2 linked regions of the Lepisosteus oculatus genome follow. The protein of the gene in region 1 purifies or fractionates together with the protein of each later gene. This does not show direct contact. Links are inferred from orthologs where the notes say so. Each region holds a gene or a part of one and is shown on either strand. Other genes may lie near its edges.

What was found. Proteins that work in one complex are often made in the same cells at the same time.
Region 2: the proteins of ift57 (region 1) and cluap1 purify together in Homo sapiens (affinity purification with mass spectrometry; 4 studies listed by BioGRID and IntAct, counting the BioPlex papers as one, with this or other methods). This does not show direct contact. The link is inferred for Lepisosteus oculatus from reciprocal best matches to the Homo sapiens genes IFT57 and CLUAP1.

The regions. Positions count from the first base shown.
Region 1 is NC_090701.1:9,588,765-9,599,592, reverse strand, and holds the start of ift57 (intraflagellar transport protein 57 homolog), read right to left. Parts: upstream 5,454-10,828; 5' UTR 5,076-5,453; coding exon 4,921-5,075; intron 3,553-4,920; coding exon 3,390-3,552; intron 2,643-3,389; coding exon 2,524-2,642; intron 2,110-2,523; coding exon 2,019-2,109; intron 1,568-2,018; coding exon 1,496-1,567; intron 1,134-1,495; coding exon 1,011-1,133; intron 600-1,010; coding exon 528-599; intron 347-527; coding exon 215-346; intron 1-214. Other genes in the region: dnah5l (dynein axonemal heavy chain 5), read left to right, coding at 9,379-9,589, 10,248-10,348. UniProt on the Homo sapiens protein: Required for the formation of cilia. Plays an indirect role in sonic hedgehog signaling, cilia being required for all activity of the hedgehog pathway.
Region 2 is NC_090714.1:6,842,906-6,854,039, forward strand, and holds the start of cluap1 (clusterin-associated protein 1 homolog), read right to left. Parts: upstream 4,419-11,134; 5' UTR 4,279-4,418; intron 3,986-4,278; exon of another isoform or gene 3,895-3,985; intron 3,365-3,894; 5' UTR 3,280-3,364; coding exon 3,258-3,279; intron 3,102-3,257; coding exon 2,990-3,101; intron 2,240-2,989; coding exon 2,155-2,239; intron 1-2,154. UniProt on the Homo sapiens protein: Required for cilia biogenesis. Appears to function within the multiple intraflagellar transport complex B (IFT-B). Key regulator of hedgehog signaling.

The sequences.
Region 1 (10,828 bases):
TAACAATGCAGAGTATTACATTTCAGTTTTGCAAAATGCCATGGCATGATAATGTTCTACTGTTTCTTAGACAAGGAATTAATTTCCTCATGATCCAGTGAACATACTGTAGCATTTCGCTAACCAGCTGTTGTTCCGTGAAGGTGCTCAGAAAGTTAACACCAATAAAAGGAGATATCCTAAAAGACACAGCAAAACAGAACAATATTGTCACCTCACTGAGCTGTGACTGTGCAGCTCGATATTCTTGAATTAAATGTTCCAGTTGGTTGTTTATGTACTTCTCTCGACTGCCAATTTTTTCAAGAGTTTTACTAATTTCTTCTTGGAGCTTGTTGAGGTAACCCTGAAAAATAAATGGATTGAAAAGCAAAACAAACCAGAGACTTGATTCATGCCATACAATCCTTAAATCCATAAATATACTTCAGTAACACCCAATTTTAGAATAATTATTTTTTTCAACAATACTAATATTTGTGTGTAAAATGTGGTACTTTTTAAAAACATTCATGAATAAAAAATACCTTTGTCTCTTTCAGAGATGATTCGATTCCATCTCTGTGCTGGTGCATCTGGTCCACATGAACTCTCCAATCCTGCAAATTTTAGAGGAAAAGGCTTAACTACCTATAAGGTTGATTTGAACAAACAAAGCTCATTTTGTTTGGTAAATCTTTAATTGTCCATTAAGAACAGACACATAAAACACATGTATAGTATTTCTACACCATATCATATACACTATAGTATTTTTCTAGATAGGCCAAATGACCTCCTACTTCTGGCTGTTATGTTTTTGCTTTTGGGGAAAAAAACAAATTTACATGTACTGATAAAAAGTTACTGCATTCAGGAATATTTTACGTCTTAGAACAAAACAACGCACTCTAGCTGCAAGGTGTGGAATTACAGTACAGGAAAGTGTTTTGGCCCTGTTTGGTTCTTATGGCAGCAGAATGCCTTGCAATTGCATACAGTATGTGTGTATAGGAAAGAAATATCTTCACCTTGTTATCAGTTCTGATTGTGACCTTCAGCTGTGGAAGAACACGCTCTACTTCCAAATTCCATTCTGCAGCATCTGTATTGGATTCCAAAATATCATCTGGTTTTAAGGATTCACCTGTTTCCTATAAATTCATAAAATCAATTAAATTAACATACTTTGTCTTAAAACATTTTGTGATTGCATGGAAACTATGAATTAATGTAAGATTCCAATGAAACACTTGTAAGAAAACGTTCAGACTTAAATTATTATTTGCAGTGTTTATGTCAGTTGTATTTCACATTAGAAAAAGTAAAACATAAGTAAGTATTAACAGAAATATACCTCAAACAAGGACAGCTAGTTATAACATGGCAAAATATTACATGTTGAAACCATTTTGGATGTTCTGACCTGTTTTTTTGTGTAAATATCTTGTAATAAGAAGACTACTTTAAAGGAACACCATTCTGTCTTAAAGAAAAGCAAAAAAAAACGTTTTACACTCTGATTTGTCCTTGTCTTCAGTGCTTCCAAGTCTATGAGATGTTCTTCTTCATAGTCATCCGGTTCAACCTACAAAATAAAATTACATATGAGGATGCGTTTTTGAGAAATCAGCACCCCATAGTTAAGGTCAAAGCAAAAGAGCAAGCACAGGTTATTAACACAACTATTGTAATTTCATACTATATTCTTTTTACTTGTGATAAGGATTTATTTTCCTCAAATGTTATTTTTGCAGAAGTACAGAAAACCATTTTTTTAATTATCATCAGTATACTTTATTCAAAAATAAAAGCAGCTAAAAAACAGCTGAGCTGATTTTGTCCTGTGATATACAGAATTTAACTGCCTAGCACTACTTTCAGTCATGGAGGCTTTGTGAACGTCCACCACTGTAACAGCTGCATCATCTCTAAAACCAAAGCTAAAGGGAGGTCTGTGAGGAAATACTTCCTAATACATCCTACTTCTCAAAAGCAGGTCAAGACATCAGTTACTTAAAGTAGTGCAAGATACTCACTATCATTTCTTCCTCCACTTTACTCAGCGTAAGTTCAGCATCATCATCCATCACAGATTCCTCCTCAAGTTCTTCTTTGGGGTAACTCGGCCTGGAACATCATTCAGACAGAATTTCGTTCAATGAGGGATCTTAAATGTTCCAGCAAAGAAAAAACAAATCTTTCCAGGTACTGTACAGTAAGTAGCATGCAATGCCTTGTATTCCATGCATAAAAGTATTCAAGCAGAGAGCTGCATTAGTATGTGTAGGCTGCGAAGGAACAGGTTCATCCCATGTTTCCATGTAGCAAATAAAAAAAATACAAAATGCAGAATAAAAAAAACAATGCTACTTTCCTTCTCTCCCTAACACCAGAAGAAGGCTCCACAGCCAAAACAAAGTGTTTCTTTACTATACCTTTCAGCATGGGAAGAACCTTGACCTGTTCCATTCCATGAAAGTGTCTAATTAACAATTTGCTATCATTGCTTTGCAGTGCAAAAGATAACTGTTTTAGGTTTACTTCTTCCAGGTGAATCTCGTCCGTTTCAGTGCCTCTTCTGCCAAGCGATCCAGCACGTAGCAAACATATTCCCCATAGCCTGTTTTCAACTTGGAAGGAGGGAAATCCACTAATCCACCCTAACATTAAAACAAAGAAAAACCCTCAACTCGACACCTTTCCACTACAGCATAAACGCACAGTTTCAGTCCCTGAGGGCAAAAATCCAGCAGGTTTCCTACTTTTGTTTAAATGAAACAGTTTTCAAAGTGTTAATGTTCTGGCTAAAGTTATAGTTTTTTTTACTTTACTCAATCTTCTGCAGATGTCAGCTGGATACATTTCAGCTAAAATACCTATTAAAATTGAATTTTCCCTGCCTTTAAGATATACCTATTTGAAAAGGACATGTATAACCTGTGAATAGTTGGCCCTTCAGGACGATAGATGTGAACCTCTACTCTAAAGAAGCGTCTCTGAACCTTTTCCACTTTGAGGCACACAAATATGAGTAATTCAATTAATAAGTAAAAAAATAATTATTAATAAATAAAAAAAAGTTAGTTTTAATATGGAGACTATGGGATGATACTTTTTTTTTTTGGACAGGAAATGCTGACAGCACCCCACTGAAGTGTACTAGAAATCTCAAATAGTTTATTCTTGTTGTAAGGCAGGCTTTTAAAACTTGTATGTTAAAAAATGGAAAGTAACATCAAGAATGCCATTTGGTTCTGACCCTGATCACAAAATCAGGGAACAATCTTTATCAGCCTTCATATTCAATGGTACATTTATTCATGTGTGGTAAAGCAGACACTGGGAAACACTGCTTAAAAGAGAGACAAGCATATTTGGTTAGCCACCTGCATTGCAGGTATACTTACAAAAGCCCTGAGCTCTGCCAATATATTCGAGACCGTAGCATTGGGGTCATCATATTCTTGAGGCTGCTCAAAGGGTCGCCCAGCTTGGTTGATGAGCCACGAGGCAAGGGTGGTAAACATGAAGAACTGTTCTCCTGGATTTGTCGGAAGGGCGAAGTAGTGACTGAAAAGAGAAGTTTTTTTTAAATCACCCTGATGGCTCTGAAAATTCAGCATGCAGTCAGACCTTGGCAGCATAATTAATGTGGTTTATGACCGTTTACCTTTAAAGGCTAGTGAAGTGTCTGTCCTTATCTTATTTGACTCTATGCTTTGTTTGTTTTAGAGGTTTGATATTAGTTATTTCAAAATAGGATTAATTGTGATTATTAACAATTATTCTACCCTAGAATTCTCTCTAAAGGAAATACAATATAAACAAATCATTACTTAAATCTTGAAGGGTATTCAATGAGCTTTAGAGCACTGACAGACTCCGAGATGATAAGATATCATAGAAAGACACATGCACTGGTGCAAAATGAAAAGGAAAGAAAAACACATCGCAATGAAATCCTCTATTAAATCACCCTAAACTGGGTCAGCGTCCTTTCAGAGACATTTACATGATTTATTTGACTACTGATGATCACATACTTTATATCAGTTATAATAACTGTATATTCTTCAAACATTAGTTCATTAAACGTGGAAAAGGGTGAAGCTTGCTTACTACAGTTCTCTTTAGCAGTTCTTAGAAAATGCACCATTTAGCTTTAACAGTACCCTGAATTGTGTATAGGTCTGACTACAACATTCTCATAAAATACTACAGTACCAGCAATCTTTATAAAGCACTGACAGCATGAAGCATGATAGAATGTTTTAGTTAAAAAAGCAGACCCCATCTCACGAAGGTAAATGAACAACCTTAAAAAAACAATATGTGGGACAATTACCTTGATGGGCAGAAATGCGATCCCTACAGTATATTGCGCATGAAATAGGTGTACAGTATAGGTACACGGGCCTAGCAAACGACATCCCAGGTGCAGTTTGGTAGTCAAGCCAAGGTACAGTATGTACGGTAAGGGCGCTGTGGAGCTGTTGAATGTTTCCCAGGTAGAGGCAGAGACAGCTACAGCTATTATCACAAACACTTTAGAGAGTAACACTGTGAGACCGATGAACAAATGAACGAACTACTCCCTCGTTCATATTTCCACCATACCCTTTAATCTAACACACATTCTCAAATGTTGTTCTATAAATATCATAAAAGAAGCAAAACAATATGGTTGTGATTTTTTTTTTTGATTTTACGGGCAAATTTAAGCATTTTTTAAAATGATGTATTTTTTCATGGAGTATTAGAGACTTCATATGCACGGTACGTGACCGTAATTTGACGAAACACAAAACACAAAAAACCGTAACTTTATTTTTCTACGATTTCCACTACAGACGGAAGATATACAATCTGGGTTTATAAACTGCTGAAGTCTACTTGCACCTTCAGTTGACAGTTTAGTGAAGCATGACCATCAGTTACCGTGATAAAGCTTTCATGTTGTGCTTCCTCAGCACCTCCTCCTCGTAATCCAACAGCTTCAGTTTATCCAGCAGATCCTCCATCACCACAAACATCTGGTAAGCGGCTCCCGGACCCCGTTCATCCTCGTCTCCTCGCCTGTTGTCATCTGCCATCGGCCGAGAACTGTTGTTTTTTCCGTGCTGTGAATCTTTTTTGCCAAAGTTTTTTTGTTTAAATCACAAACTGTCAACCAGTGCTGTGTGCCAGCCACTACCTGTTGTAAACCAAATTGTTTGCTTAAAGCGTCGTTACCAAGGAGAGTCTTGGCCGGATCTGCTCCCACAAAGCAAAAGTAACTGAAGTGAAAATCATTTAATGTGGGGACGCTTTTCACAGGTCGAATATTGCACCGACGTTAAATCGGGAGCAGAAATAAAAATAAAAACAATCGTGGGTATAGAGAAGTCAGGGAAACATGAAACTGTGACATACACCCGGAAGTAAATCCAAAGTTTCCAATCCAGCTCCTTGGTTACGGCAGGTTCCCAGGAAATTGCGTTTGCCATGGAAACATGGTTGATTGATTTTCCGGGAGTTAAATCACAAACAGCTCGTTCGAAATGCGTCTGTGCTCTGTGGTGGTCTCATGGCAGTTTCAAATGAGACCAATTTATTAATAAAATACCGAGATTATATAAAAAGTAATCGGCTTGAGGTTGATCGTTTCAGTCTACGGTGACATACTAATGTTGAGCTAACTGCGAACAATTTAAGTAAATTTTCAGAGTTTTAATGTCATATGAAATTTAGCAGTAGCCCCCACACCCTGCTTTCCTATTGTCCAAGGAATTATCAACAAAGACTGAATGTATTTTAAAAGCATTATGCGAAAACACATTTAGACAGCAAAAAAAAAAGACAACTCGGTGAAGCTTCGTATATGTTATGCAGTATATTTGATGCTGAATCCATGTTTAATGTTTATATATAACATCGCTCATGTGATTTGTTTTCAGCTAACGTATTAATCGTCAAAGCATGTCCGCATTGCTTTTGCAAGCTATTCCTAAAACTCTTCAGTTTAAAGATTTAAACTGATGAGTGTTTAATGATGGGTGGGTGCGGGGACTCGGTCTCATATCAGCATATCCTATTCGATAATGACAAGGGAAAAATCTGGCATATCGCGTGTCATTGCACCTCTCAAGGTTTGTTTGAGGTGCTAGGAAACAGCACTACCCCCCTAGAGGCTTCTCTGCAGCCTGACAAAGACTTCACTAATGATCAGAAAGCCTTTATTGGCGGCTCCGAGCAGCACATTACCTACAGGGAGTCAAATATACAGCTATTCATCTACCAGTTACCGTAGCAATGAAACCTAAAAAAAAAAAAAACTACTGACAAAACTGTACCTATAAATTCAAAAAAAGTTTTTTTTTTACCTTACGCTCACTTGTTTTTTAACTTACGACTCCTGGGGTGACATTTCATATATCACTTGCTTCATCAGTGCCTTTTCCATAAAGATAACTTTGTTTTGATTAAGTCATACACATCATATTTTGTTACTTCCCTTCTCTTCACCGTAAGAAAATAAAATGAAAGTATTTGCCAAGTGAGCAATACCATCAAAGCACAGCAAAACGTACCAGACAAGAACGAGAAGTATAACATTAGCCTCAAGCATCATAACTAAGTATAAACGCCTTTCCAAATTCTTCATAAAGCAGGACATTTCAACAAAGTGTGTATGTGTGGAATAGTCCTGATGCATTAAATTGGATTCAAATATGTTCAGTACATTGTTGTCTCAGTGGGTTACAAGAAATATATTTTAGTCATTTTAAATGATCATTTCTGTGTTTACTTGTAAAGACCTATAAGACTTCAGAATTTAAAACAAAATGCTGTGCTACTGGTTTTACAACTGAGTATGCCTTGAGCAACTCTGTTGTATGGGGTTGCTATAGCACTGTTTCTTGCAAAGTGTACTGGTTTGAATAAAATTGGAAGAATAACAATGAAAGCAAGGAACAGATGTGTAGAAGTAGGTGTATGCACGTAATTTTGGCAAATGTACTGTACCATCTTAATAGATTAATGGAGCCTGTAGTCTTTTATCTGCAACACTCTAGTCAGAGAGTATCAGTAAAATAGTAAATGTTCTTGGCTTGGCAAGAATGGGTGAGCTGGATTTAGTTCAAGTTGCATTACAGTAGTTTCCATGGTAGCACCCAAACTCTGACAGACAGAGGGAGGGGGGAGTGAGGATTTTTTTTTCAAACAGAGTTCGCACTTCAGAGGAAAGAGGGTTTACAGAGCTGTGAGAAACAAACACTGACAAAATACTGACAGGTGGATTACAGACAGGAGGACTACCTGAGCTCTGCTTTCTGCAAAGGTAACAACCAAGAAGGCTGAGATAAATGAGAATGTCTTAAGTTTTCTTTAAATTGAATGAAGGCCCTCAGTAATACTGCATTCTGTTATTGTTTGTGTGCGACTTGGACGGCACTTAACAACTTTTGTTCTATGACACGTTAATTTGTAAACGCTTTTCCCTTCTCATAGAACTTTTCCTGCTTTCTGAAACTGGACATACTTTTGGTTTTGGTCTAATAATAAATAATAGCTCTTAGAATCCATTTTAGCCACAACGCTTACCAAGAATAAGCAGCTTGTCGCTATGGAAGGATACTCTGTATTAGTTTCTCGTTTGTTGTGTTTGTGAAATGGTCATTTAATCAGGTTATTTCATCAAGTTGTCAAGTCATTCTTAGAAAATGAGGCTTTTGATCAGCTCAAGTAAAACAGATACATAAAGTATTCAAATAAACCAAAGTTACACATATTCATTTTTATTTAGGATGTTTACTTTTTTAAAATAGTAAACAGATTAAGCATGAGAATGTCTATTTTTTATCATTTTTCCCTATGTTGGCCATTTAAGTGCATAATTGTGTTTTGCTTAAGGTTTAAATTGCATTTATTCAGTTACTTTTCTTCACAATACCTTCATTTCAGAAGGGTGACTAGGTTCTCTTGCTATTGAGAGTCAAGGTCACAATGACATATCTAAGCCATTCTCTGATTGGTTAGCTGCTTTGAGACTATCATTATATTGTTCAAAAGGCAAAACTAGAATGGTTTCAGTCCACAATGGTTTCTTAATCCTAATACAGACTGTTTACCTCGTGTATTTTATGTACAAGACAAGGCAAGAAAACATACTACTGAGGTTTCATATTATGCATACACACAATTGTGAACTCACCAGAGTGTGCTTTTTAAAATTTGGCTTTTATGTACATATCATCTTAGATAATCATTCTGCATTTTTAATCACACAGCTCACAACAGTTTTATACAATATCAGATACATTTCTGAGCTCAAAGGAAAGCGCTACACTGACAGACTAAAAGAACTGAACAGAGAAGACATGTGGACCTCGTTAAAGTACAATATTCAGAATCCTCAGTGGACCTCTTTAGAAACAACAATAAAACGCGAAGTAGAGGACACAAGTTGAAGCTATAAGGAAGTGCATTTACACCTGAGAACAGGAGACAGTTTTTTACACAAGGGGCTGTAGGAGTACCTTTAGGTTTTGGCAGGAAGTAACCTTAGGATCATCGGTTGATTACTGAAAAAATAAACAAATGAGTTAGATGGGCCTAATGGCCTTTTCTCATTTGTAACTCTTCTTATATTCTTATACCTATACTCTAATAATCATTCCCCATTTTTAAAAATATTATTTAGTTCATAAACATGACATGATGTCTTTCAATTCAAGTTGTACTAAAAGTATTATCATGTTTTTAATGGGCTATTTGTACCACGAATTCAGAGCCTAACCTGCATGCTATTATTATAATAATTAATCCTTATATATAGCAAGGATCCTAAATCACTATACTGTACATATAGTATCGGAAGTACCCACTTCATCAGCCACTGAATTCAGCTCCACTACACAGCTGAGGGCAGCGCACCTCCTATATCTCAGAGTATCCAGGCACCATATCTGGGTATTGCTTTGAAAACTGTTGTCCAGGGGGAATAGTACCACCTACTGGTCCATCAACACCCTGGATTTTCTTGGAGGTCTCGTGTCCCTGTTCTGCGCTCACCAGCTTCATGTTTGCCTAACGTCTGAAAACAATCTGGTTTCTTTTTTCACCTTGAAGACTTGGCTTTGCAACCGGCCTTTTATTGCAGTGGCAAATGAAATTGTCACTGAAATACAGCTGTGTAGTGTAAAATATCTTGGTTACTGGAGATCTGTGTTTTTTTAGATCTTTTCCAACATTATTATATGTGGCATACTGATCTTTATGGGGATCCAATATCTTTCTGTATGTTAAACTAATCAGTTTGCAGATTATATTAGGAATTAGAACCCAAGTACAGTGATTAGCCTTTACGAAATTAGGGGTGCAAGTGAACTAATGTTCAATAATATGTGATTACAGATGTCTGACAGTGAGAAGACAGGTCCTGGGGAGGAGCTATCAGGTCCCCAAGAGGAGGGCACTGATGCTGAAGAGAAACCACAGGAGGGCACAGAGGATGTAGAGAAACAGCAAGTGAGCACAGAGGCCGGGGAGAAAGAGGATGCTGAAGCAGCTTCACCCAGACTTACAAATGAGGGCATCGCCCCTCCTCTTATCAACATACAGAAAGGTAAGTCCCTGCCATGTATCATAGTCTAGTATTTCCACAATGACGTCTGAGATAATGATGGACTAGACTTTCAGTTATATTCTAGTTTAGGCACACAGTATATGAGTGAAAAAAATGATAAGTTCAGACATGTTTTGGTCCTCTTTCTTCCTATGTGAAATGATTGATTTTGTTATGATTTCACACTACAGGACTGAAAATTGTTGCTGCACAATTCCTTTTTTTTTTTTCTGTGTCAAAGCTGTCACTCTTGCCTGGTGATTAGAACTCAGAAATGTTCTGTTCTTAAGCATTACAGTTTATGCGGTGTATCCTCATTCATTTAAACATGAAGAAATTATTATTCCCTACATCTGTAGCACACAATAATTAGATTAAAGGGGAAAAGGAAGCCTTTTTTGTAACCAAATATTATCTTCCCTGAGATTACTATGCAGTGCATTCGATTTTACTGTGTTTTTTCTGTGGTAAACTGTCTGGGGTAGCATTATAAAAACATTAGTAATGCCTCAATCACTAAGAGTGAAAGCAACAATGACAAAATGTGATGAATAAAGTAGACAAGAATAATCAAAATGTACGAAACAGTAATTCGACTTTGAGAAAATATTTTGTCATAAAAATGAATAACTTTTCCCCCTACGTACTGTATTTACAGATCAGGGAGCTAAAGGGCACAGGCGTTTAGGTTCCAAGAAACCCAAAGGCACAAGTCACACAGCAGCCTCTGTTGTATCATCTCCTACAATGACCACACCAGTGAGTGCAGCCTTTATGTTTTTGAAACAGCCTCAGCTTACAGATTTTTTCCTGAGTAAGAACCTAAGAAAGTCAATTAATGTGAGGAAGTTAATCAGCACATCTAGGTTCTTTAGTTTTTTGAAGATGATTGATCTAAGGATCTATTGTACTTATGCTAGTTGACCTCAGTATTTTATATCTGTATACTGAATATTCTACTCTTTTCAAACATATTCAACATACTGTATGTTTATGTACAAATGTTTTGTACAAGAGTTTTGTACCCCAACTATTCAGTCTCCAAAAGTTATACTGAGATTTTTTGAGACTGTATGACGGGACTCCATTACAGGCTGATGGTCTGTGTGCTTAAGGAAATAGAACTTTATGACACTAAAGGAAGTCAGAATCATTCAGTGGAGATTAATGTCTGGTTTCACATATACAGTATATCATTTAGGTTTGATTGCTTATTGCCCTTTCCTGGAAATCTACCTA
Region 2 (11,134 bases), on another chromosome or scaffold:
GGTTTCGAAATGTTTCTTCATATTGCTTCTGTGTAGTTTCGGAGTTGGCTTTCGTTATTTGAAATGTGGGAAAGAATTCACATACTTCGTAGTATTGAATTTTCAAAAACGGAACATTCATTAAAAGAGGTACAGCTGTACTACCCTACCAAAATATCAGTGATACAAAATATTCAGTGTTGCATTCGAAAGCAGTAGGACAGACCACACATCCCATGATTGCTGTCAAGCAGAAGCAGATTAGATCTTTTTCTCAGTATGTTGTTCAACGGGAAGGAAGGCTGACTTACTGTAAGTGACTTCACAGAGACATGACTGATCAGGCTGGCCAGGTGTCACTAATACAAAGCTAGGAGCGGACTTAGCTACTAGTATGGGAGGCTGCCTTTAAGGGCTTACAGCAAGTGACTGGAAAATTACAGAAAAACGAATTTTTGAAGAATGTCTTTTGTTTGCAAACTGCATTAAGCTTTTAGGTCTGCAGCACCAAATTGTTAGGGCTGTTCAATAGAAATGATGGGGATGTGTAAGAGTTATTTTTGTCCATTCGAGCACTAAAGATATTCATTGTGATCTTGAATAGATTCTGAGCACCAGGGACTATTATGCAGAGCAAAAGTAGGCAGTGCTTTAAACAGAAAAAATATACTATTTTATTTGAAACCACTCATCTTTCACATTGGTTTCTTGCTGTATCCTATCCTCTGAGGTCTGTTTCCCATGCTTTGAATTTGGCTTTGCTCCTCAGACATTAGGAGATTATGCTTGTGGTATGTCACTGCAGCTCCTTTTGAAAACAAGTTAAGGTAATTGTATTTGCTTGGCAGGTCTACTGCTATTAATTCCTATACATCACAAGTTGTCAAGCACAGAGCATCCTTTTTAACCTTTGTACATTCTTGCCATCTAAGAAGCCACAGCTGTTTTAGTCTACCTCCCTTGACTGTACACGCTTTTAATCTCAGGTTTTTGCACTGTAATCACATAGTAAGGATTTACGTGCTCATATACAACAGATGTCTCAGTCTTCCTGCAGCAACGTGACAGCTGTCTGTGGCCCTGGACTGTGTATAAGGCATGGTTTCAAGCCTTGTTGCCTTGGCAGTGTTCCACTCTAGCAGGGTCTCTCTCACTCTATTAGGGAGGTGATTACAGTATAAAAACGCATGGCTTTAATTTGATGAAACCTGACAGATTGCAACTATGGCCATGAATGATGTTCCGTCCATTGTGACTGGTCAGCCTGCACTCTCCTAGGTGTTCAGCTCGAGAGTCTAATGCTGTGGACCTGAAGCCAGAGAACACAGCTCCCTGGTCTAGAAGGAAAGATCAGAGACTGAAAACCTCAGTGAGAGATGTCAGACTGTGGACTTGGGTTTCACCATGGAACCTTATCTTTCACATACAGAGACAGTGGGGTGATAATACCAGTCTGTTAGAACAGACAAATGGCATCAACGTTATTTATAACATAATTTGTGAAGATGCGAGAGGCGAGGTTACGGTGGTATGGACATATCATGAGGAGGGACGTTGAGGAAGTAACAAAGAGGGTAATGGAATTTGAGGTGGAAGGTAACAGGGGAAGAGGCAGGCCTAGAAAGAGATGGATGGATTGTGTGAGAAAAGATATGGAGGTATGTGAAGTGAGTGAGGAAGATGTGCTCGACAGAGACAAGTGGAGAAGAGCAACCAAAGCAGCTGACCCCAGGACAGTCTGGGACTAAGGCTGTGAAAAAGAAGAAGAAGAAGATTTGTGTGTACTTTTGTTATGTTTACTAAGAGTAAATTAATTAAAGTATTTATTCTAGCATAAACTGCTGTCCCCTAGTTTACAAAAATAAATAATTCATAAGGATTAAGGAATGTTCCTGGAAACACAGCCTAAAACTAATTTTTGAATCTCCAAACCTTCTCTAAGTAATGATTCATTTGCTTAAGTTGCTGCCATACACTAGAATACTTTTAGAAGCGTTGTCAGATTCACAGCACAGATAATAGCAAGATAATGAGTTAAGCAGAAAAGTAAATTTGATGATGCACAGAAAGCAAAATCTGAAAGGGAAAGCACAAGCAGATGTTTAACTAAGGTTTTAGTTACAGTCAGTGCACTTAAAGGCAACTTGAAGAGAACCAACACAGGTTTAGACTTACCATGAACTGAGCAACAGCTTTGATGAAGAAAACCCGGTCTGTCTCTGTATCCACATCAGTGGGAATATCCATGTGTGGCTCGTATCTACAGGTGTGAAATATGCAGAAAAACACTTAAAGGGCAGGAAAGGAGACTATGGACAGGGATTGAATTAGGCAATCTTATGGCAAATTTCCCATTGGCCTTTACCAATCATGGCCTCCTAATAATCCCCATCTATGAATTGGCTTCATTACTCTGCTCTCCTCCCCACTGATAGCTGGTGTGTGGGGAGTGTACTGGCACACTATGGCTGCCGTCGCATCATCCAGATGGGGCTGCACATTGGTGGTGGTGGAGGGGAGTCCCCATTACCTGTAAAATGCTTTGAATGGTGTCCAGAAAAGCGCTATAAAAGTGTAAGCAATTATTATTATTTCAGGTGGGGAGCTGTGTCAGCATGCGTAGGCTGCAAAGGAACAAGTAATAGGTTTATTCCATGCTGAAAAAAAGAAGAAAGAGAACACAACGTTTCGGCCGTGGAGCCTTCATCGGGTGTCAAAAAGGCTCCCGAAGAAGACACCCGAAGAAGGCTCCACGGCCGAAACGTTGTGTTCTCTTTCTTCTTTTTTTCAGCATGGAATAAACCTATTACTTGTTCCTTTGCATTATTATTATTATTATTATTATTAAATTCCTGGTGTTTTTAAGGAGCTGAAGCAATTAGAAGCTGAAGTAATCATTGCACATTATTGCACAAGTACAACAGAAAAGTATTCTAGGTTTAATATGGCTCTCGGATTGCTGTTCGTCTGCCATTCTGATTGACAGTAAAAACAGTGCAGAGGCACAAACCTCTTCACCAGCCAGATTAAGATCTCTGCCACCAGGGTGAAATTGGGGGTCCTGAAGTTTTCCATTGAAATGAGACGAGTGTACCCCAAAGCCCGCATCATCTCTGTGAAATCTGTTAAAACAAAGAAATGGTTCTTCATAACAAATCCTCGGACCCGTTAGCTATAAGACAACAAATGCGTCAAATGGGCCAGCGTTTGATGGGGATAGGGGTTTACTTGAAGAAATCAAGAAATCTGGTCACGTAGAATTTCTGCTCAGCACTTACTTCTCAGGTCTCTGAAAGACATGGTGTCCGGTTGTGTGGAGACAGCGGTCTTTTCTCTTCCAAGTACTTATTTCGCAGGCTGATCCGGACTGACTTTCCCGGGAGCCCTTTGAATTGAAAAGAGGGACAAGACTTCAACCTCCCTTCAGACTGTTGGGTGTTACAGAAAATAAGGAGTCCGTAACCGCAAGAAATTGAATCCATTCCCATGTTCTTAGACGTATTTACCCATAGCAAAAATCAAAAGGCTGACATTTTAATCATTTGGATTTGTATTGATCTCGTCTCGCTCGCAGTCTTGCGTAATCTTAACTCGAGTCCCATTTTAGAATAACCCACGTAGGAGACCGATAAAGCAAACCATTAATAATGTCTTAAAGTCAGTTTCGAAGGCAAAATCAAAAGTACATTTGTTCTTAGAAAAATACCAAAGTCGCCTCAGAGGGCCAGACTGTGCCGCATACTGTATATCTTAGTGCCTTAAATGTTCTAATTTTCCCTATTTTTATATATTACATGCTACTTTTAAACGGTCTAGTCTGTGCCTAGCTTGTATACTTCAACAGACGGGTTTCTCTTCGGCATCCTTCAGGAAGAAAGACGCTAATTAATTAATAGTAACGTTACCTATACTTACAATTTATCATAACTGGCCTGCGAGCTTCTCTACCGCTTATCCCGTCTCTATGGAATCCAAAACAAACCTGCGCTACGGAAGCTTGGAGAAGACAAACCTCATAACGAGTCCCTAATAGCACACAACCATGCACACAGTATTCATAAGAGCACAATAAGAAGACGGGGAACATTTTAGAGCAGTGTACAGTGCCAATGAAGCCCACGGGAGCCCAGGCTGCTGTCCTTCCTCCCACTCCCCCAACAGCTTATACTTGTATAATGAAATCGCACTGTAAGCTCGGTTTTGCTGTGCTAATAACTATACAGTCACTCTCTGTGCTTTTTCTAGTTTTGATCTCAGTGTACTTTCCTACATTTACATTCTATTTTTAACTTGCCTTACCCTTTTATTCTGGCTTGACTGAAGCCTGAAGAAGTGGACCCAGTCCTCAGCAGTCCATCCTCCAATTTAGTGCGCCGGTCCGTTTTCCCAAGCGGACAAGCTCTTCACCGCTGCCGCTGTAACTGGGTCAGTTTGAAACAACCGTCGAGCCAACTTGTCTATATAACTTCTGCCTGGGAGAGACTGTGCACAAGAGGGCGTTTCTTTCTTTCGAGTCTGGGTTTCTTTGTGTGAAGCTCTTGTCAGGATTAACAGTGGGCAGCCAGCATCACAGCGATGCCGGGATATGTAAGCAATTGGACTAGAACAGTCTGAATCCCAGATCACTTGAGTTTATAGTTATTACAGAGCGGATGCCAAGATGGATACAGCCTTAAACAGTTTCGATAGGTCTTATTTCAAATTAATAATTAATTCCGCAAAATGGTAGCTAATACAGACAGTAAATACTGAGTTAGTCACTACTTAATTACTGGGAGACAACGTTACAGTATATTACATCCTAGTATAAATGTTTTCATATCATAACTTTTATTACGCAGTTATGTCTAGCTTTTATTTGTTTAGTTTTCTGTTTAATTTGTGGATACCTATGTCTTTGGATGATTGTTTTTTTTTGTAATTGTTTTAGCTCCGTGCCGACCATAGCCGCAGGCGAACTATGGGACTACCTGGGGGCCCGTGGCCACAAGGGGGCCTCATTGTGCACCACAACCTTTTTAATCGGCACTTTCAAATGTGAGCGAAAAATTCCAGGCGCTCTTTCTGTTGCTGCTGTGCTAGTCTAGGGCTGTTAAAGTTTGTTAGTTATAAAATTACCTTATAATATTATTAGTTATGAATAAAAGAGTAGAAGTTTATTTTGCTGTCAATGTGTAGTAAATGGCTCATCTTCGCTGTAAAATGGCAATATCATTGCGGTTTCGGCCGCTGTTACACCAAATGTCGGGTCATTTTATTTGCCAAACCGCTTTATACCACACGGTGTCGCGGCAAGCCGGAGCCTACTCGGCAAGCAACGAGCGCAAGGCAGGGTACACCCTGGACAGGACGTCAGTCCATCTCGGGGCCAGTGCAAGCCTATCACACATGGGGACAATTTGGAGGCCACGGTAAAGGTCGGGGGGAGAAATTTGCCCCGGACACCGAGATAACTCCCTACTCTTCTCGAGAAATGCCCAGGGATCTTTAATGACCACTGAGAGTCAGGACCTCGGTTTAACGTCTCATCCGAAAGACGGTTTACACCAAATGGTGTTCGTTTAATTGGGTAGTGGTAAATGTTGTGATGATCAATTTTTATTAATCTTCCGTTACATCTAAGAAGATGTGATGAGATATTCCAAGTGACCTTTCACTTGGGTTGCAAACTGTCCATTTGCCAAATGGTTTAAAATTAAAATCACGTAGTTCCAACTGGGAAACGCACATCATCTTGCAAAAGCAGGTACAGTACCTATCAAAACAGAGGTGCGCCGAATCAAGTCAGTCATGTAAACGAATAATGCATTTGGATTGGAGTCCGTCAGATTCAAGTAACCAGCGGACGGTGGACAATCTACATTTTCTAGCTAGACACCCAGACTGCTTGAGGTGTTTTACTAAAAGTTCACAGATTCACTCTTCATTTGTAAAATGCGTGCCTCTTGTTCTAGTTTACAAGTTCTTAGAAGATGGTTGATAAAAGATTTCTAGTTATATAGTTCATGTATTTGTTTTAAATGGTAAAATAAGTTTGTAAGTTTGTCGTGGGGCGGTTAATAGTAGTGTTTGCGCAAATTGTGATCTCGGGGGGTGGGGGAGCTTTCCAAGATCTTAGGGCCTCTCAAGAGCTAGGGCAAGCCCTGCTTGAGACGATGCCTCGTTGGAGGCGCTATATAAAACAGATTAACTTGCAAACTCGCTTCCGTCATTTTTGTTTTTCTGCACAAGAACAGAACTCGTACACTGAAACAAAAGGAAAAACTTTAAAAGATTTGCAACGCCTTAGGACCAGTGAGATTCAGCTGTAGATCGTGCCTGTGACCTTTCTTAACTTGGGCAACAGAACAGTTCCAACCAATATACACCGCTTCGGTTTGGCGTGGGCAAGGGTATTTTATTTTTGCCTTCTCAGCGGGGGGTCAGCTCTGTGTCAGACTGTCTACGTCAAACAATCTTGATATCACCTCTGCAGGTCTGTGGTGAAGTGCAGAAGGGCCCTTTCCCGGATCTGTCTCTGTTAATTAGATAATTAGAAGCAGGAGCCGAGCTCCACGGTTCAGGAGCGCGGGGGGGCTCCGATTTAACCAAAACAATTTTCGCTACCCTGCCCGAGAGACGAAGACAAATACTGATTTCGCAGTGAGTTTACCTGTTACTTCGCTACTAAAATTAAACTCGACGTTTCTGGCAATTCTTCTGACGTGTTTCTCCCTAACGACACGGCCAAGCAAAATAAAATTACTATCCCGGGACGCAAATGGACTAAAAGAGATGTCAGGATACTATATATATATTTTTAAATCCTGCTAGTACTCCTGCTAGTAATCCCTGCTACTGGCAGTTTGCTGTACATTATGATAACAAAGATACTTGGCATGTTTGCTACCAGTAACGGAACCTACCCCTTCATTCTGTGGAGAACTGTCACAAATTCAGCAGCAGAAAATGTGAATTACGTGGCATGGCCAGACAGTTTTGTATTCTTTACCAAAGCACGACATACTGTAATAGCATTTCATTGCACAAATTTATCAAGTTATTTCCGAAGTTTCGCTTGTTATTCTTGTTTTCCCTCAAAATTAACGGGCAACCTGGGGTTATCTCTGCTCTGGAAAACCCGAATGGCACGCATGCAGTCAGTCCTAAGAAAAACGCATTTAACCGCAATGCAGGTATTGACTAGTTTATCTTAGACAACCCTGCTTCCAATAAAGTTGATCAAACTGCGATAGGGCGAATCTTAATGAGGTTTATGGTTATGTAATGCGCCCGGAAATAATAATAATTATTATTAATAATGATGAGGATGATCCAACACATTCGCGTTGCTCGGCGTTCAGCTCTCCGGTCCCGCCGGCTCTAGCCCGCCCTCTGGTGGAGACGACCGGCCGCCGCGGCGGCAGGCAGGTGCGCGCCCTCCTCCAGCTGAGCAGTTGCAGAAGTTCGCAGGAACCGCAAGGACCGGCGATCAGCAGCTAGAGCCGCCGGTAACCCCCCTGCAGCCGGAACAAACGGGCTGGGAGCCCTCTGTCTGCGGGCCGTTCGTTGGTGAGTATTTTTCTTTCTGGGTCCAAAAAGACTTCGTGTCCTTGTTGCTCTAATGCAGGGAATCACTGTATCTAAGGACTAGTCATTCACGTTGATAACAGGGGATGTGTCCGAATCACGGCGATGAGCCGCCAGCTACAGGTTCGGCCCAATTTCGCGAGCTCGAATGCTTCTCTGTTGCTGGTTCGGTTTAGCTTTCTGCTTTAAGAGCGCTGGGGCGCGTATCAAATAGTTCTCAAATTTAAGATGTTTTTTTCTTTTTAGGAGCAACACCGGGCATTAAAACTCAAATCGTTTCTTACATAGTTCGTTTTCTATATATGGGAAGACTGTGTGAATGCTACAACCCTGCGCTGCCTATCAATAAACAAAGACTGAATTCTACAGTGCAAAAACGAGCCAGACAATACAAAGTATTCCCGTTCTCCAACTTCTGGATTTTTTCTATTGTATTTCTCTTTCGGTAAGGATGTCGGTACCGAACCTATGTTACCGAAAGAGTGTTGATAATACCGGCTACGAATTTCGGTTTCAGAAAGAGTTTCGGTACCGAACCCGTGTTTCCGAAAGAGTGTCTATAACACTGGTACCGACTTTGAGCATCAGAAAGTGTGTCGGTACGGAATCTGTGTTTCAGAAACTGTCGGAAATGTTTATTCCGCGTCGCGTAGAGAAACGTAGCATTCGTTCTCCCCAACCTTAAATGAGTTAATTGAATAGGTTATTGATTTAATTAGTCTAATTACGACGTTCTAAGGGTTTTTTAATTGACCCATTTGGGATGTTGTGACAAGGGTACGCAATCTCGTTAATCCCACACCCGTGCGCTCGAACTCTTAACTCAATTAAATCCTGAATTAAATTGATTGGAACCTTTGGAAGTTTTTTTTTTCTATTCCAGGTCGGAAATCGTACGAAACGGACGAAATGCAATAGTTAGAACCAGCTAGGAACCGAAAACCAAACGTTGGATCGGTTATATTATTGGGTCAATTCAAGTTTCAATTTGTAACCGAGAGCTCATCTGGAATAAAATCCACAGGTAGGGGATGCGGGTATCTGTGCCGGTTAAACAGTGACGGAGAAGGGCTCAGGTGCAGTAAGGCTTCATTTTTGGGGGGGTGTCACCCGTACACCATCTGAAAATCCGGTGCATTCTTCCTTTCAAAACGCTCAGTGAACACATTCACTCCCGGGAATATAATACTTAGTGTGGGTCACGGAAAACGTGCACCTTTCAGTAACTGCGGTGAGACAAAACCCCAAAAAGAAAACGTTAATGGTTTCATCAAAGGTTTGGGCTTGCTAAGAGTATTTTTGGAGAAGTAGTGGGTTTTGATGTGATGCTATAACAGTGTTGCTGGGAAGGGTTTGATGTCTATGTGGAGTTTGCATGTTCCCCTCATATTCGTATAGGTTTTCTCGGAATGCGCTGGTTTCCTCTCGCAGCCCAAAGACGTGCTGCCCAGGAGAGTCAGGATGTGTCTCTGGAACTGCACACCACACGTGTGTCCTGTTCTGGGTGTCGTCTTGCAAACTGGGTCTGCTGGGTTTGTCTGTGACTCGAAGGCTAATGCAGTTCAGGAAATCAGTGAATGGATGGTAGCTTGAGACGTTTTGTAATTAAAAGAAAATCACCGCTTTATTTGAGCTTTTGTCTTGATTGCGCTCTGTATGGACCGAGAGCCACCCCGGGTGTTTTTATTTTTAACCTTAGCTATACAGCACATTGCTGTAGCTGTCAGATAGGTGGGATTTCTTGAAATCGCGTGTCTTTACCAAGACAACGGTAGGATCTGTTGGGGTTTTGTTTTCCAGATAAGGTTCAGTTGGTTAATTAAGCAATTATAGACTCAGTTACACACAATTAACATAGCTTTTGGCAGCTGCTTGAGGACGGCTCTAAAATGTGCAGAGCCGGGGCTGCTGTAGTGAAAAGAACAAAAAGGCTTCGTTTTCTGTCCTCCGTTTCACTGACACAAAGCAGCAGCAGAGCAGCGCCGGGATTTGCCAGAAGGGTTTTTTCAGCCGCAAGTATCACACGCTGCTCGTGTCTGAAGCGTCCCTGAAGCCTGGAAATTAGACGGGGGTTTTATGCCGCACTACCAGAAATTTCAGTTCATAAAGCGACTTCGTGTAAAAATTAAACGTTGAAATAACTTTCCATTCAATATACTACTGTATATGTGGTGGCGAGCGCTGAAGCTCCAGCTAACACTTCAGTTTTGAACGAAAGTCGTCTACTGTACAATGCCCAGATAATCTTCATGCTGTTGCGTGTCTTTGGACTTCCTCTCAGAACTCTCTCCTGCGGTTGGGATTAGCGTGGATGTTTTTTTTTCCGCGCACGCAGCTGTCCTTCAGCTGTCAAATAAGGGCGGCGCCACACGCGTGGGCTTTCGCCTGTGTGAAACATGAAGGCGTGCTGGCCTAACGAGGTGCGACAGGTCCGTGGGCGACAGTGACACCCCAGCAGTGACCGGGTGGACTTCGGGCCCGACGCAAACGAGCATTTGTCATCTACCGCTGAGAGTCGAAGCTTCAGCTCCAGGCGCCCATCCCCAGGTTTCCTGCAAATTGGCGTGTCAACTCTGCGTGTCGCTTTGAAGAAGAAAAACTCATTACGGAGCAGCTTGTTGCGGGACCGCATGTCAGTACGCAGTCATCATTTCAAGACACACACGGCGGTTTGTGGCCCCAGTCCGCATCGATGCGTTCCATGGACACATAGGAGACAACGCAAAGAACGTGCAAAAGAACAGAATGGAGAACTCGTGAAAAAATTAAGATGGGGGTGTAATTTCTCCGGTGAAGCTTACTTTCCCTATCCCTGCTGTACAGCAGCAGCCGCGGCTGTTGAATTCTTTTCATTCAGCTGCAAAGCAGAAAATTAGGTGGTACAAACACTGTTAAACTCCTAGAGGATATTTAGCTTTAACTGGGATTGTAATCATAATAATTGCTTACACTTATGTAGCGCTTTTCTGGACACTCCACTCAGAGCGCTTTACAGGTAATGGGGACTCCCCTCCACCACCACCAGTGTGCAGCCCCACCTGGATGATGTGACAGCAGCCATAGTGCGCCAGTACACTCCCCACACACCAGCTCTCAGTGGGGAGGAGAGCAGAGTGATGAAGCCAGATCAGAGATGGGGATTATTAGGAGGCCATGGTTGGCAAAGGCCAGAGGGAAATTTGGACGCTGGGGTAACACCCCTACTCTTTTCGAGAAACGCCCTGGGATTTTAATTGACCACAGAGAATCAGGACCTTGGTTTTGCGTCTCATCTGAAGGACTGTTCCTATTTACAGTACAGTGTCTCCATCACTATACTGTGGCATTACAGTAGGACCCACATAGACTACAGGGTGAGTGCCCCCCGCTGGCCCCACTAACACCTCTTTTAGCATGGACCTTCCCAAGAGGTCTCCCATTCAGGTACTGACCAGGCTCACACTGGCTGAGCTTCAGGGGGTTGCAGGGTGATATGGCTGCTGGCCGTCAGGGCAGTGTGTTTAACATCCCTGCTGCTTTGACAGTGGGGGTGTTCTGACTTTTGGATTCTATCCACTGTCTCTGGGGCACCTACGCAGGTCCAGTG